Callithrix jacchus: one gene and its partners. The protein of the gene in region 1 interacts with the protein of each later gene in a biochemical or structural test. Links are inferred from orthologs where the notes say so. Each region holds a gene or a part of one and is shown on either strand. Other genes may lie near its edges.

Region 1 (4,408 bases):
TGGAGGAAGGATCACTGGAGGGGGTGGGCCCCTCAAAACTCCTGAGGGGCTCCATTGGCTGCCCAGCTTTTTCTCTCCCTCCCTTGGATAAAACAATAGCACTCTGTGCTGAAACATGCACAGTTCTTGGAGTTCTGCAGATGTGGGATCAAACCCCGTCAAATCTGCCATTTATCAGCTATGGGACTTGGTTTTATTTTTTTCCTCTTTTTTTTTTTTTTGAGACGGAGTTTTGGTCTTGTTCCCCAGGCTGGAGTGCTATGGCACTACCTTGGCTCACTGTAACCTCTGACTCACCGGTTCAAGCAATTCTCCTGCCTCAGCCTCCCAAATATCTGGGATGACAGTCACAGGTGCCCACCACCACGCCCGGCCAATTTTTTGTATTGTTTTATCATTATTATTTTTTTTAAAGACGGGGTTTCACCACGTTGGTCAGGATGGTCCCAAACTCCTGACCTCAGGTGATACATCCACCTTGCCCTCCCAAAGTGCTGGGATTACAGGTGTGAGCCACTGCACCTGGCCAGCTATGGAACTTGGGTAAGTTACCCTCTGTGCATCTCAATTTCCTCATCCATAAAATGGGGATGAGCACCCTTATCCAAGTTCTTCTAACCATGCATGGAGGCCACTAACAGCAACCCAATCCACAGCAGGCACTCCATAAAAATAGGTCCCCCTTCCCTTTCATTCATTCGATCTCTGCGATTTGAGACAGGTTCTGTCCTTGTCACCTTATCAGGCATCTAGGGAATCTGACGGCTACCTGCTGAAGGAGTTAACTATCCACCTCCCACCTCCTCATTACCTCTCAGTTTCCACTATAAACTAGCATTGACTGGTGTTTCATGGTAAGTACTTGCGCTGATTCACTTATTCATTCAAAAAACATTTGCTACCAACCTACTGACATCAAGCCCCTTACTAAGCGCTGAGCGCAGAGAAAGGCATTGCACTCACTCCTTGATCCGAAAGAGGATACATTGTAATGGGAAGACAAATCTAATTTCTGAAAATCTACTAATAACCTATGTTGGGAAGGAAGGTATGTCTACAACATTCCTATCCAACCTTCAAAACCTGGCTCAACTGCCACCTTCTCCATGAAGCTTTCCTTGATCACCCCAGCGGAAGCACTGCTCCATCTGCTTTCTCTCCTTGTCACCAAGTCATGCTAATAGTGCCCTTATGGAACCGAGCTGTGATTATCCCTTTAACTGTCCATAGTCCCCTACAAATAGTGAGCTCCTGGAAGAGCAGGGTGCACTGCTGCTTCAGCACAACACCTGCTCCACCGCTGAGACGCAAGGGTTTGTGGGACTGGCAAGTCCAGGGAAATAAGGGACTTGGGGTTCCCATGCTCCTGGAACTTGGGGGAATAAAATACTCACAGTTTATCCTCCTCGATGTCATAATCCAAGTCTGCAAACATGGTTCCGAGAGTTGGAGCAGGCGGGCTAACTGCCCAGCTCGGTAGGGGAATAGGGGACTGGATCTGGGAGAGAAAGGAACATAGGATTTAGGGAACCGAAGTGCCTGAATGTCAACACCACCCCTTCCTCCACCACCCTCATACGGGACAGCAGGGCCCTCTTCTTCCCCTCTGGAGTGGGATGGGGCAATCTCCGGGTAGGGGGGGCTGGGTAGGTGATTCTTACTAGGTACAAGGGGGGACTCAAGGCCAGGATGATGGGCTCAGATCCCAGAGCCCGGCCCAAGGGTCTCCAGGTCCTGGGGAGCTGCCTCTGTTGCTCACCGGAAGCGTCAGTCCCAGAGCCGGGTTCGGGCCAGGCTGGTACCTGAACCCACCTGCCGTTCCACCTGGCGGTGGCCGCGACTATCACGTCACTTCCAGTAAGACGCGGAAGTCCCGCCCTTTCCCCGCTGGGTGTTTGCCCCAATCCCTGCAGACAATCCTTCCCTCACCCGCTCCCGGGACTCTCGGAACCAAGAACAAGAACAAGTATTGGCAGAGGCTCGCTGTTAGTAGGAACAAGCGGAAACAGAGGAAAAGTCTGGACAGGCTGACAGCGTCTAACCCCGCCCTTTGCCCTGACGCCGCCGCCATCTTGGGAAGGGCAGGGTTTGTCCCAGCTTCCTCAGCGGCACTCAGGGACCCGCGCCGGGTGGCGGTTGCCAGGGCAACGGAAGCATCTCTGAGCTGGGGTTACCTCCCGCGAGGCTCAGTGGAGTATAAACCCCGAGACCTGCCCTTTCACCCCTTAACCACCTGGGCCTGTGACTCCCCTACTAGAAAGGCCCTTTGAGGTCCCAGCGCATCCCAGTTTCGCAGGCGAGGAAACTTAAGTGCCAAAGAGCCGGCAGTGATTTTGTGCAGAGCCACACGCAGTTGGTATAATATCTGGACTGTGGCCTCGAAACTCCCGCCGCCTAGTCTAGTCTAGGGATCTTTGAACATCCGAACACTAAGCAGAGAGCCGGGAGTGGTGTATTCAGTGGATCTTGCTATTAAGATTGGACATGCCCCCTTCCCTCTATGTGCTTGAGTTTCCCCATATGTAAACTAAGGCCATATGGTCAATGCTTTCTATGGTATATGGTGAAACATTTCTCACCCCCCCCATCTCCTTCCTTAGTCCTGAGGAGCAGCCACCCTGGGGTCCCACGGAGGGTCACAGCCCCCATGTACCTGAGGCTCGGGAAACGTCATCAGTGCTCCCCTGTCGAAGCTTTCTCTCCAGCCTCTGCTGCCACTGCTATTGTGTAAAGTGGATTCCCTGCGGGAGGCTGGATCTCCCAGAGCCACAGCCATGCCTCCACCTCATCCCGACAGCACGGGGCCAGGGCCATCCAGCTGGCTTCCCTAGCTGCCCCAGGGGCCACAGAGGAAAGATGCAGAAGGATGGATATCCACATATCCCACGGGCGATGGAAGCCCCACCCTACTCTCTCCTTAGGGAGCTAATCTGAGTCTGGACAGATGTGTAGAATGCCGTGATAGCAACAGCCTTCCCACGTGTCCACTGCTCTCCAGTCAGATCACTTTCACAGGATTTTCAAGCTCACCACCACCCTGTGAGGAGAGACCAAGTCTTGCCAGCCACAGTGTGCAGGCAAGGAAACTAAGGCCCAGAGAAGTCTCTTCCTCTGGTATCCTAGTGGCAAGACTAGGGCTGGGACAACCAAGCTCTGTTTCCAGGCCAGACTTTTGGTTTTAAAAAGCAACAGTCTAAGGCCAGGCATGGCGGCTCATACCTGTAATGTCAGCACTTCAGGAGGCCCAGGCACACAGATCATCTGAGGTCAGGAATTCAAGACCAGCCTGACCAACATGGAGAAACCCTGTCTCTACTAACAACACAAAAATTAGCTGGGCATGGTGGCACGCTTCTGTAATCCCAGCTACTCAGGAGGTTGAGGCAGGAGAATCGCTTGAACCCTGGATAGCAGGAGTTGCGGTGAGCCAAGATTTCACCACTGCACTCCAGCCTGGGTGATAGAGCGAGACTCCATCTCAACAACAACAACAAAAAAGATTAAAAGGAGAAACAGGTATGAGTGCTTTGTAAACAATTTGCATGGCACAGCTGTCACTCTGACCTCAAAACCCCCTACCCACTCTGGCCCCTCTTCCCAGGTGGGGGCAAGATGCCCCTTTTTTCTGCTTCATCCATCCCTTACCTCCAGGCCCCGATCTAATTTGCCTCCTCCCGGCAGTGTCAGCAGACAAGCTTAGCTCATATATGTTGCTCCCTTTCTGAGCTCCTGAGTATTTGCTCTCTGAATCATTCATTCAGCAGTTTGCTATGACTTGGCCTCGTGAGATCGCTCCATGGTTTTCCTGCGCCAATTCTGCGATGAGTAATTTATTGCATGTCTGTGTTTTGTCTGGAAAGGCTTTTTCTCCCTTAAATTTGGGGCTCAGATCTCGTAACTTGACAAATTATAAACTGCTTCTCCCTGTCCCTCTTTTTATTGTGTTCTCTTTCTCTACTTTTTCTTTTTTTTGAGACAGAGTCTTGCTCTTTCGCCCAGGCTGAAGTGCAGTGGCACAATCTCGGCTCACTGCAACCTTTGCCTCTTGGGTAAAGCGATTCTTCTGCCTCAGCCTCCTGAGTAGCTGGGACTACGGGCACCTGCCACCACACTCAGCTATTTTTTTTTTTTTTTTTAAGATGGAGCCTCGCTCTTATTGCCCAGGCTGGAGTGCAAATGGCGAGATCTTGGCTCACTGTAACCTCTGCTTCCTGGATTCAAGTGATTCTCCTGCCTCAGCCTCCCGAGAGGCTGGGGCGATAGGCGCCCACCACCACACCTGGCTAATTTTTTGTATCTTTAGTAGAGACGAGGTTTCACCATGTTGACCAGGCTGGTCTTGAACTCCTGACCTCGTGATCTGCCCAACACGGCCTCCCAAAGTGCTGGGATTACAGGAGTAAGCCAC
Region 2 (4,077 bases), on another chromosome or scaffold:
GTAAGGCCAGCACTCCCCCTCCTTGTTCCCCCCTAGCAAGTTGCCTCAGGTTCATACAACAGGAGGAATCAGCTCCTCCTGGAATCTTTTTCAGCAAACACAGTCCCTCAGCCTAATCTGCAATCCCTTTCTTGACTTTAACATTTCACTATTTTTTTTCAGACAGAGACAGACTCATCTGCAGTACTGCCAATGGTAAGTAAAGATACAGGCAGTAAAATAATTTAAAAATTCTAAACACAAAACATTTGTGCCTTTAACCCCAGGGGCTAACAGGGAAAACACTGTAACTTCCCCCAGCCCCCAGTGGTTCTCAGGTAAGGTCTCTGACCTCATCCTCTCCCACTGCACTACTACCTTAACTTGTCTAGCTTTAAGCTCAAAGATGAAGTAAGCACTCTGGGTTTCAGCTACAAATCAAGTTCTTCCTTAGAGCAAGGAACTCAAAGTGATGGCTAGCCCCAAAGCACTTTTGGTTTTCAATCCTTTAAGGATCTCCATGATAGCACAAAGAAAGTGTCAGGGATGCTCAGAGGTTCAGAGGGGCCATGCAAGCTGCAGCCTAGGATAAGCACTCCTCCTGAATGCAAACTTCACACTCCTGGAGGTGATGTGGTGACAGCCCTGGGTCTCACAGTGTCCCCTTCTGAAACCCAACACCTTTCCGGAAAGCACTTGAGAGGGGCCGGTTCTCTACATATGAGGAGCATAAAGGTGCCAGGATCAATGTGTACATCTGAGGAAGAGATTAGCTGGGTTTAGGTACCACCAGGCAGGGAGAGAGCCGCTAGGCATTGGGAAAGGGTCATATTAATACTGAGATGAACCAAGAACTTGGGAATGAAGACAGAGGGGAAAAGGAGGCAAAGATTGAAAGGGAGGGGAAAAAAACAGCAAAGGAGACAGAGACAGAAAGAGAGAGTGATGCACATATAGGGAGACACAGAAGAGGGAACCTACAATCACAGAGACCCTGAAACTCAATTTCCAAACCCCAAAGCCACTCATTCCTACCCAATGCAGATCGGGAGCCAAGGGGCAGAGGCTGTGGGAGTAGGTGGCAAGAGAACACTGCGGTAGAACCCACCGCTCAGCGGCCCCGGATCCACCTTCCTCCCATTTTTTCTTAGTCGCCCTCCGGCACTGGAGCGGGAGGACCAGGGGGCCCTGCTCCAGGCACCTCTCTGCCTCCCAACGGGCGCCTTCGTGCCTTGCTCCGGGAATCCTCCTCCAAACCGAGAATTTGGCTTGGGGTCTGCACCAGGGAGGTGGTGGGTGGGTGGAGGGGGGGCGAAGGGAGGAGGCAGGGAGAGCTATTTGTTTCGCAGTTAGTATGAGCTCATCTCTGGGCTGAGGTCTGAAGTGGCAGGAGTGGAAAGCTGATCGCCCAGCTCCGGCCAGTGGCTGGATTGCAATTGCAATTTAGACGGTGCAAAAAATTGCCGGGAGCAAACCAACTGAGGGTCACGTCTGCGGGCAGCATCTCTCCACCTGAAGAAGGTCCCAGCACCTTAGGACCTTGGCTCTTGCCGAGGCTGGCTACAGGTCAGGAAATCAACCCAAGGGAGGTGGGGACTTAATATCCACTTCTAGGTTAAAGACCAAGCCCTGGATTTAAGAAGTGCCTCCTTAAGATCGTCTCCAAATTTTCCAGGGGAGTGCACGTTTGCAGGATGACTTGGGGACGGTGGGAAGCAGGGGAGTTGAGAAATGCCGGGTTTCCAGGCATCTTCTCATCTTTCCTATTCCATTCCTCTTTACTAGCTCTCCTAGGAGCCTGGCACTTTCACAAGCCTGCTTTCGCACCATATTTCACTCTAATGCAAACCCATTTAAATCATCGCCTTGTTTTTCGCAGATTGCTTCTTGTAAATGGGGCCATAAATCCAGGATGTCAAGCCGGATGGAGTGGAGCGTGGACAGGGGAGAGATGGAAGGGAAATAAACCAAGCAGGGAAGGTATCTCCTTGGGCAGGGTGGGAGGGATTCGGCAGGATCTCCAGGGTGGAAATGAGTGAAGGCTGACCTGACCGAACCACCGGAGTCCAAGTGAGCTTTTAGGGTTAAGGGCGCAGGTAGCCACGGCGTGCTCCGCCCCGGAGGGAGCGCCCCCCTACCTGGAAGAGCCTCAGGATGTTGGCTACCATGATGGAGACCGAACTCCCCGAAGCCCCAATCACTCCAACTACTTTCTCCGGCTTGACGAAAACCGGGGGTTCACCGTTGGTGCAGCGCACGTCGGAGGTGTCCTTCTGGATGAGCGCCTGGACGAAAGTGAGCGACTGTTCGAGCGCATAAGTGTCCCTGGAACAAGTGTCCAGGATCCGCGCGCCCAGCGTCACGTTGGGCAGTAGGTTAGGATCACTGTTGATCTGGTCCAGGGCGTAGAGCATCGCTTCCAGCCTGTGGATCCCGTTCTCCCTCTTGATGTCGCCGCAGGGCACTCCGCTGGGACCCTTGGCGTGCACGGGGAACAGCCCCCCAAGGGTGACGTCCCCCTCGATCCGGATTGAGTGCGGGGCGTACATCTCCTGGCCGCGTGCTGCTGCCGCCAGCGCGCACAGGAGCACCTCCAGCACGCAGCAGGGGAACTTCATCAAAGTCAGGACGCGGAGCAGCTTCCTCAGCTGGACCATGCTGCTCTGGCTGCTGCGGTGGCGGCAGCCGCTGGAGGGGACGGTTGTGGGATCGCCGAGGTCCGGGCCCCTCTGGGTTTGCTCCTCCGGGAAAGCCCAGGGGCTCCTCCAGGCACGAAGGGTGGGGGAGTCGGGGGAGGGGCGACCAGAGAGGGTGAGGGGTCCCGAGGCGCCTGCCAGCCTGGGGCTCCTCGCGCTCTCTGGTTCGCCGGCCAGCACGCCGCGCTCGCGCTCACCAGCGTGCAGCTCGCTCTCTCCTACAGCCCAGCACTGGGGAGAGGGCAGGGATTGCTATCGCTTTAAATGGTCGTTCGGCTCCCTCTCCTCCTCCTCCCACTCCCTCCCTCCCTCGCTGGCTCGCTTCTCTCCCCACCCTTCCCAGCGCCCGCCCTCCCCACTGGTTTGCATCATCACGCAGGGAGGGGCTGCGTGCTGAGGTAAGGGGGGAAAATGGGTGGGCGGCTGGGGAATGGGGGGAGGTTTCCTCAGAATGGGAGTTTCGTGGTCCCCAGGGAATCTAGGGATTGCGAGCTGGGCTCTGGCCCCCAACTCACTGTGGAAGCCTCTTGCCCGCCTGCACCCACACCCAGGCGTTCTGGGCATGGGTGTCATCAGCCGCGGGATAGGGCGAGGACGTTGGGCTGACTGCTCCCAAACCCTAGGTCCGGAGCCTAGGCTCTTAGCTCTGGGAAAACCCCAGGGAGAGGCAGAGAAGCCAGTGAGGGAGGGGCGTGGGAAGACCCTAGCTAGGCTCTACTCCTGAGCCGCCTGTGCTAGTTTTTGCTAAGAAAGCCACACATGCACACAAGAGCCTGATTCACGACTTAAAGACACTTTACCCAAAGGGGTCTCCAGGGCCAGGCGCTGAGCTTGGCTGCAAGGAAACAGAAGCCAAGGGGAGACACCAGGCATGGGAGTGCATCCTTGGTCTTCAGTGGTCACTAGAGTCAGAGCTCTGTGAACTGACGCATTTCCCCAGCACTTCTGTGTCGGAAACCTCGGACGCATCCCTTCTCTTTTCTTCTTTGCAGAGATGGAACAACTGAGAACTCCACAGAGTCTATTTTCTTCTCTAGTACTGACAGGTGTAAGGCTCCCTCCTGTTTCTAGAGATGTATCTGGTGCACCTGGTGACAGTTTTTGCCTGTAAGAAACTGCAGGAAAGAGATGATGGCAGGAATAAGAAAGGGGGCAGGCAGAAGTGTCCCCATAGATTGAGAATGCCTTTCTCTTTCACTGGCTGGGGTTTAGGGACAATGTCAGGATGCCAGAACAGGTTGCAGTGCAATTGAGAAGCTCTTTATGAAAGGTGCCTCCTCCTGCAGGTCCAGACACATTTGGCCTATTAAAGCAACAAGTGGCTCTACTTCCAATACAAGGAAAGTGATTGTCTCTGTCCTTGGGGATGGGAGTGGACTTGAGGAAGTTAAACCAACTCTTG
Region 3 (4,269 bases), on another chromosome or scaffold:
AAGTGCTGGGATTACAGATATGAGCCACCACGCCCAGCTCACAAAGGCACAATTTTTAACAGACTTTAACTAAATTATGTTTCTGTAGCTGCCTGGATCAGAATATTCAGTGTATCAATCATAATCCACGTGGGAAATGTAAGTATTTTTGAAACAGTCTTCATGCCAAGAAGAAAATCTTTGGTTTTGAGAAAGTCAACAGAAGGTACATTTCATTAGCAGTGAGGTCACAGTCAGTCCTGTTTATTCCTATTCTACCAGGAAATGCATCTTTATGTTTCACCTTAAAGTAAGCCAGAATTTAAATAAAGTGGAAGAGTATTATTTGCATTAAGGCGAGTTTAGCACTTAGAGAAAATGTAGATCTGAAAGGAGCAAGCTTCAAGAAAGCTCTTACCTTTAACAGAAAAACAATCACAGATACATACTATTTAGATTTTGATCTCCAACTGATCACTGGGTAAAGTCTACATTGTCTTTGCTGGCTCTGAATTATCTTCACAAACACACAAAATCCATCACTCCAGGGCTTCCTTTTAATCATTGTCACTTTCACCTACCTTTAGCACTGTTCTCCACACCTAAATCCCAAACCGGCCATTCAGATGTTTATTGAAATGTGTCTAATGAGGCTGGGTGCAGTGGCTCACGCCTGTACTCCCAGCATTTTGAAGGCCCAGGCAGGAGAACTGCTTGAACCCATGAGTTTGAGACCAGCCTGGGCAACACAATGAAACTCCATCTCTACAAAAACTTAAAAATTGGCAGGCATGGCACACACTTGTAGTCACAGCAACTCAGGAGGCTAAGACGGGAGGATGACTTGAGCCCAGGAATTGGAGGTTGCAGTGAGCTGTGATGGTGCCACTGCACTCCAGCCTGGGTGACAGAGCCAGACCGTCTCAAGAAAAGAAAGAAAAAAAAAAGAGGGACGGGTGTCTAATTTCAGAATTAGGCAATGCAATTAGTTGAATAAAATAATGTATTGCACACTGTCCACAATTTCTTATGTAATGTACATTTCCTAAGGAAGGCAGGCATGGATTTAGTCATTTATGTTCTAATGCACACTTACTTGCACTATTTAAAGCAACAGCTGGAGTCGGAGAAAACTTTTTTAAAACCAACCTTCTAGTCTCCAAGTCATTACTGGTAATTGATAACTGTTGAATCATCAGCTCCAAAGATCGTATTTCTTCCTTCTTGGAAGAAGAATTCCAGATAAAACTAAACAGAACTGCCCAAACATATTTCATCCTAATAAAGTTATTTATATAACTTATTAGGTAATAATTTATAACTGGGTAATGTTCTTTAGATTTTAAGTGCCTGTCTTCATATAGCTTTACAATAAGGTTGTTTCTCTTAAAATTATTTGTGCACTAGATTAAGTTGAATTAAAATAAAATGTGTTTAACTGTCTTCAAAATAAGACAGGCTATTTTCTTCCCGTAGACTACTGACAGCACGGATTCTGGAAAACCTCTTCTACTTGGTTTTCTGATTCAGTTCAGATTTGTGATTACAAGTCAATCTGACGTAGACGTCACCTAAAAAGAGCTCAGGAAAACTCATAAAATTTGTAATTTTTTCATAATTTGATAACCTTCAAGTCATTCACCAAAAGTCAGACCATGATAGAAAGGGAAGAAAAGCTGAAGAACATTCTTGTTTTACCACAGAGACAAAGACAATGCCAGTTACCTGACCTGAGTCTCCCACTAATGGGTAGCATGTTTACATTTTAACAATAACTTCATAAACAAAAGCAGATATGAGAAGTATTTTCAGTGCATAAAGATTAATATTTTATAAATCCACCTTTCATCTTTCTTCTGGACAGACCGCATCGGACTCCGAAAGTACTTACTGCAATCCAAAGTGTTTTGTAAGTGACACTCCTCAGGAATTAGCCCTAAACGAGCTCACCAAACCCTCCATACATTACGTGGAGAAACCTCCATAATAAGGACATCTCACATAGCATTGTTTTCTAAACATATGGTGCATTTCCATTAATGTTCAGGGTTAGCCCCTAAAGTAACTTTTGCCTTAACAACCCTGGAAGACAGGACCTTTGCTCATCTCACACTTCAAGTGTTCATGAACAACTCTGATAGCCACCAAGTTTCGTTTACAAAATTGCAGCTCGGTCATTCCGGGTTTTACCAAAAAAATCGTAATTTTGCAAAAGGCAGAAGATGTAATCTCGGCAATTATTTACTCTTAATTTTTCTTTCACCTCAGACCTTCAACGAGAGGTTGAAAAGGAAACATTCGAAGGGGCAAGAAGTTTAGATCCATCTGGAGGAGTTTCTGTGGAGCCCAACCATCCTCACCAGGTGCCTTCCATTAGAGTTTAATGCTTTGCTGGGGTTTCCTGAAAGAGCCCCACAGAGAGTGGGTCTCGATGGGTACTGAACCGCACGACCACCGCCGGCCAGGGGATGGAGGAAGGCGAGGGGGGACGGCGGCGGAGCGAGGGCTTCGGGACCCCGCACGGTCCGAGGGACCGCGAGCGAGGAGAGGGGATGCGGGGCCGACTGGCGTCCCCGGCGAGGCTGTCTTCTCGGTAACGCTCAGAGCGGGAGAGGACGGGGGGCGCTTGGAACACACACATTGGGGCCCCAGGCCGGCGTCAGTGAACTGGGGAGCCCAGCGGCGTGGGCCGGGGTAGGCACGGGCACTTTGGCTCCGTCATTGACAGTTGGCAACGGGGGTCCGGTCGGCCGAGGCGGGGCGTGGCGCCGAACCGGGACGCGGGGCGGCGCAGAGAGGCTGTACCTGGCAGGCACCCACGTACCTAGCATGGTCACTGGGCAGGTGGCTGTTGCGCGACAGACAGGGGGCCTACGCTCGCACGGGCAACCGCCCGCACCTGCCACCAGCGGCTCTCCCGAGTTAAATCGTCCAGGCCTCCCCGCCCCCGCGCCCGGCCCTAACAATGCGCACGCGCGGACGGTACGCGGCCCTGGGCCTGCTGGGAGTCGTAGTTTTAATGCGTAGTTTCTTCTCACGTCTCCTCCCCACGTCCCTACCACCGCCCTTTCCGGCTTCAGGCCCAGGAAGCTTACGTCACAGGGGAGGCGGGCAGAGCCCTGCGCCCACAGTGTTGACCAGTCGCTTAGCAACCGGGAGGCTTACCTTTGGAAGCTTGTTGCAGCTCTAGCCACGGTCCTGCCCTCTTCCCGCCCCGCCCCTCCCCTAAACTCCCTTCACCAAGGAGCTGCCAAACATCTGGATCAACCTGGGCACTACAAAGGGTTGAATTTCTACCATTAACGCGCCTTTTGACATTTTTTTCCCGACCTCCTGCTCACATCCGTAAAATCCACTGATTCTTTTACTACACTTTTTATGAGAACAAGATATTTTCTAGGAAGATGGTGGCAGAAAAAGAGACCCTGAGCTTAAACAAATGCCCAGACAAGATGCCGAAGAGGACTAAGCTGCTGGCACAACAGCCTCTCCCGGTGCACCAGCCTCACTCCCTGGTTTCTGAGGGCTTCACAGTCAAAGCCATGATGAAAAACTCAGTCGTAAGTGATCTTCCTGAATTAAATGCACTTGCTCCGAATCAGGGGACACGAGATTTACAGAGGTTGGCCAGCCATAGGATGGACTCTGAGCCCAAGCCCTGGGTGGTCTTTGCCAAAAATGGCAATTACTTGGCAAGTAGCAGACGGTATCCCACAGCGTGTGGAGGGCAGGCTAAGTTGTTAGAATCTTGGGCAAATGATGTACTCTGCCCATTTATAAGCACCTCCCCGATAGCTCACAGTTTGCGCTATTTACACCAGGAAAAAAATCCCCCTTACTTACTAATTCCTAACTATCCCTACTCAGCGAAGAGCCTTATAGTAGGTGAGTTCTTAGAAATCATAAACTCTTGCAAAATTTAACATGAGCTGATATACAACTGAGCTGATATAAACTCAAGTAATCTATAATAAGAAATTTCTTCTCTTCAACCTAGGAAATTTTAGAATACCCTAGCATTTACTTTTACACTTGGCTCTTACAAAATGATGTCAGCTTGTTAGAGTACTGGAAGCCAACTTAATATGAACACTGTTTCCTGATAGGCCTTTTTAGATGATGTGCTTTAAACAATACAAGCTTTAGCTCATTTATCTCTGCTACTAATACAATTCAAATTTGTCTCTATTATTTGTAGTAATAAAAATAAAATATCTTAGATATCATTAGAGAAAAAAGATTAAAAATACATACAGATATTTTAGCTATATACATGATAGTGTATTTTTT

Evidence for each region. The genes of interacting proteins can lie anywhere in the genome.
Region 2: the proteins of PICK1 (region 1) and GRM7 form a complex in vitro, tested with the Homo sapiens proteins (2 studies listed by BioGRID, with this or other methods). The link is inferred for Callithrix jacchus from reciprocal best matches to the Homo sapiens genes PICK1 and GRM7.
Region 3: the proteins of PICK1 (region 1) and PRKN form a complex in vitro, tested with the Homo sapiens proteins (3 studies listed by BioGRID and IntAct, with this or other methods). The link is inferred for Callithrix jacchus from reciprocal best matches to the Homo sapiens genes PICK1 and PRKN.

The regions. Positions count from the first base shown.
Region 1 is NC_133502.1:209,055,482-209,059,889, reverse strand, and holds the start of PICK1 (PRKCA-binding protein), read right to left. Parts: upstream 2,939-4,408; 5' UTR 2,777-2,938; coding exon 2,654-2,776; intron 1,848-2,653; exon of another isoform or gene 1,662-1,847; intron 1,499-1,661; coding exon 1,395-1,498; intron 1-1,394. UniProt on the Homo sapiens protein: Probable adapter protein that bind to and organize the subcellular localization of a variety of membrane proteins containing some PDZ recognition sequence.
Region 2 is NC_133516.1:63,898,907-63,902,983, reverse strand, and holds the start of GRM7 (metabotropic glutamate receptor 7), read right to left. Parts: upstream 2,909-4,077; 5' UTR 2,637-2,908; coding exon 2,118-2,636; intron 1,960-2,117; exon of another isoform or gene 1,859-1,959; intron 1,546-1,858; exon of another isoform or gene 1,342-1,545; intron 1,238-1,341; exon of another isoform or gene 1,015-1,237; intron 1-1,014. UniProt on the Homo sapiens protein: G-protein coupled receptor activated by glutamate that regulates axon outgrowth through the MAPK-cAMP-PKA signaling pathway during neuronal development.
Region 3 is NC_133505.1:169,264,459-169,268,727, forward strand, and holds the start of PRKN (E3 ubiquitin-protein ligase parkin), read right to left. Parts: upstream 2,909-4,269; 5' UTR 2,811-2,908; coding exon of another isoform or gene 2,804-2,810; intron 1-2,803. Other genes in the region: PACRG (parkin coregulated gene protein), read left to right, coding at 3,384-3,539. UniProt on the Homo sapiens protein: Functions within a multiprotein E3 ubiquitin ligase complex, catalyzing the covalent attachment of ubiquitin moieties onto substrate proteins. Substrates include SYT11 and VDAC1.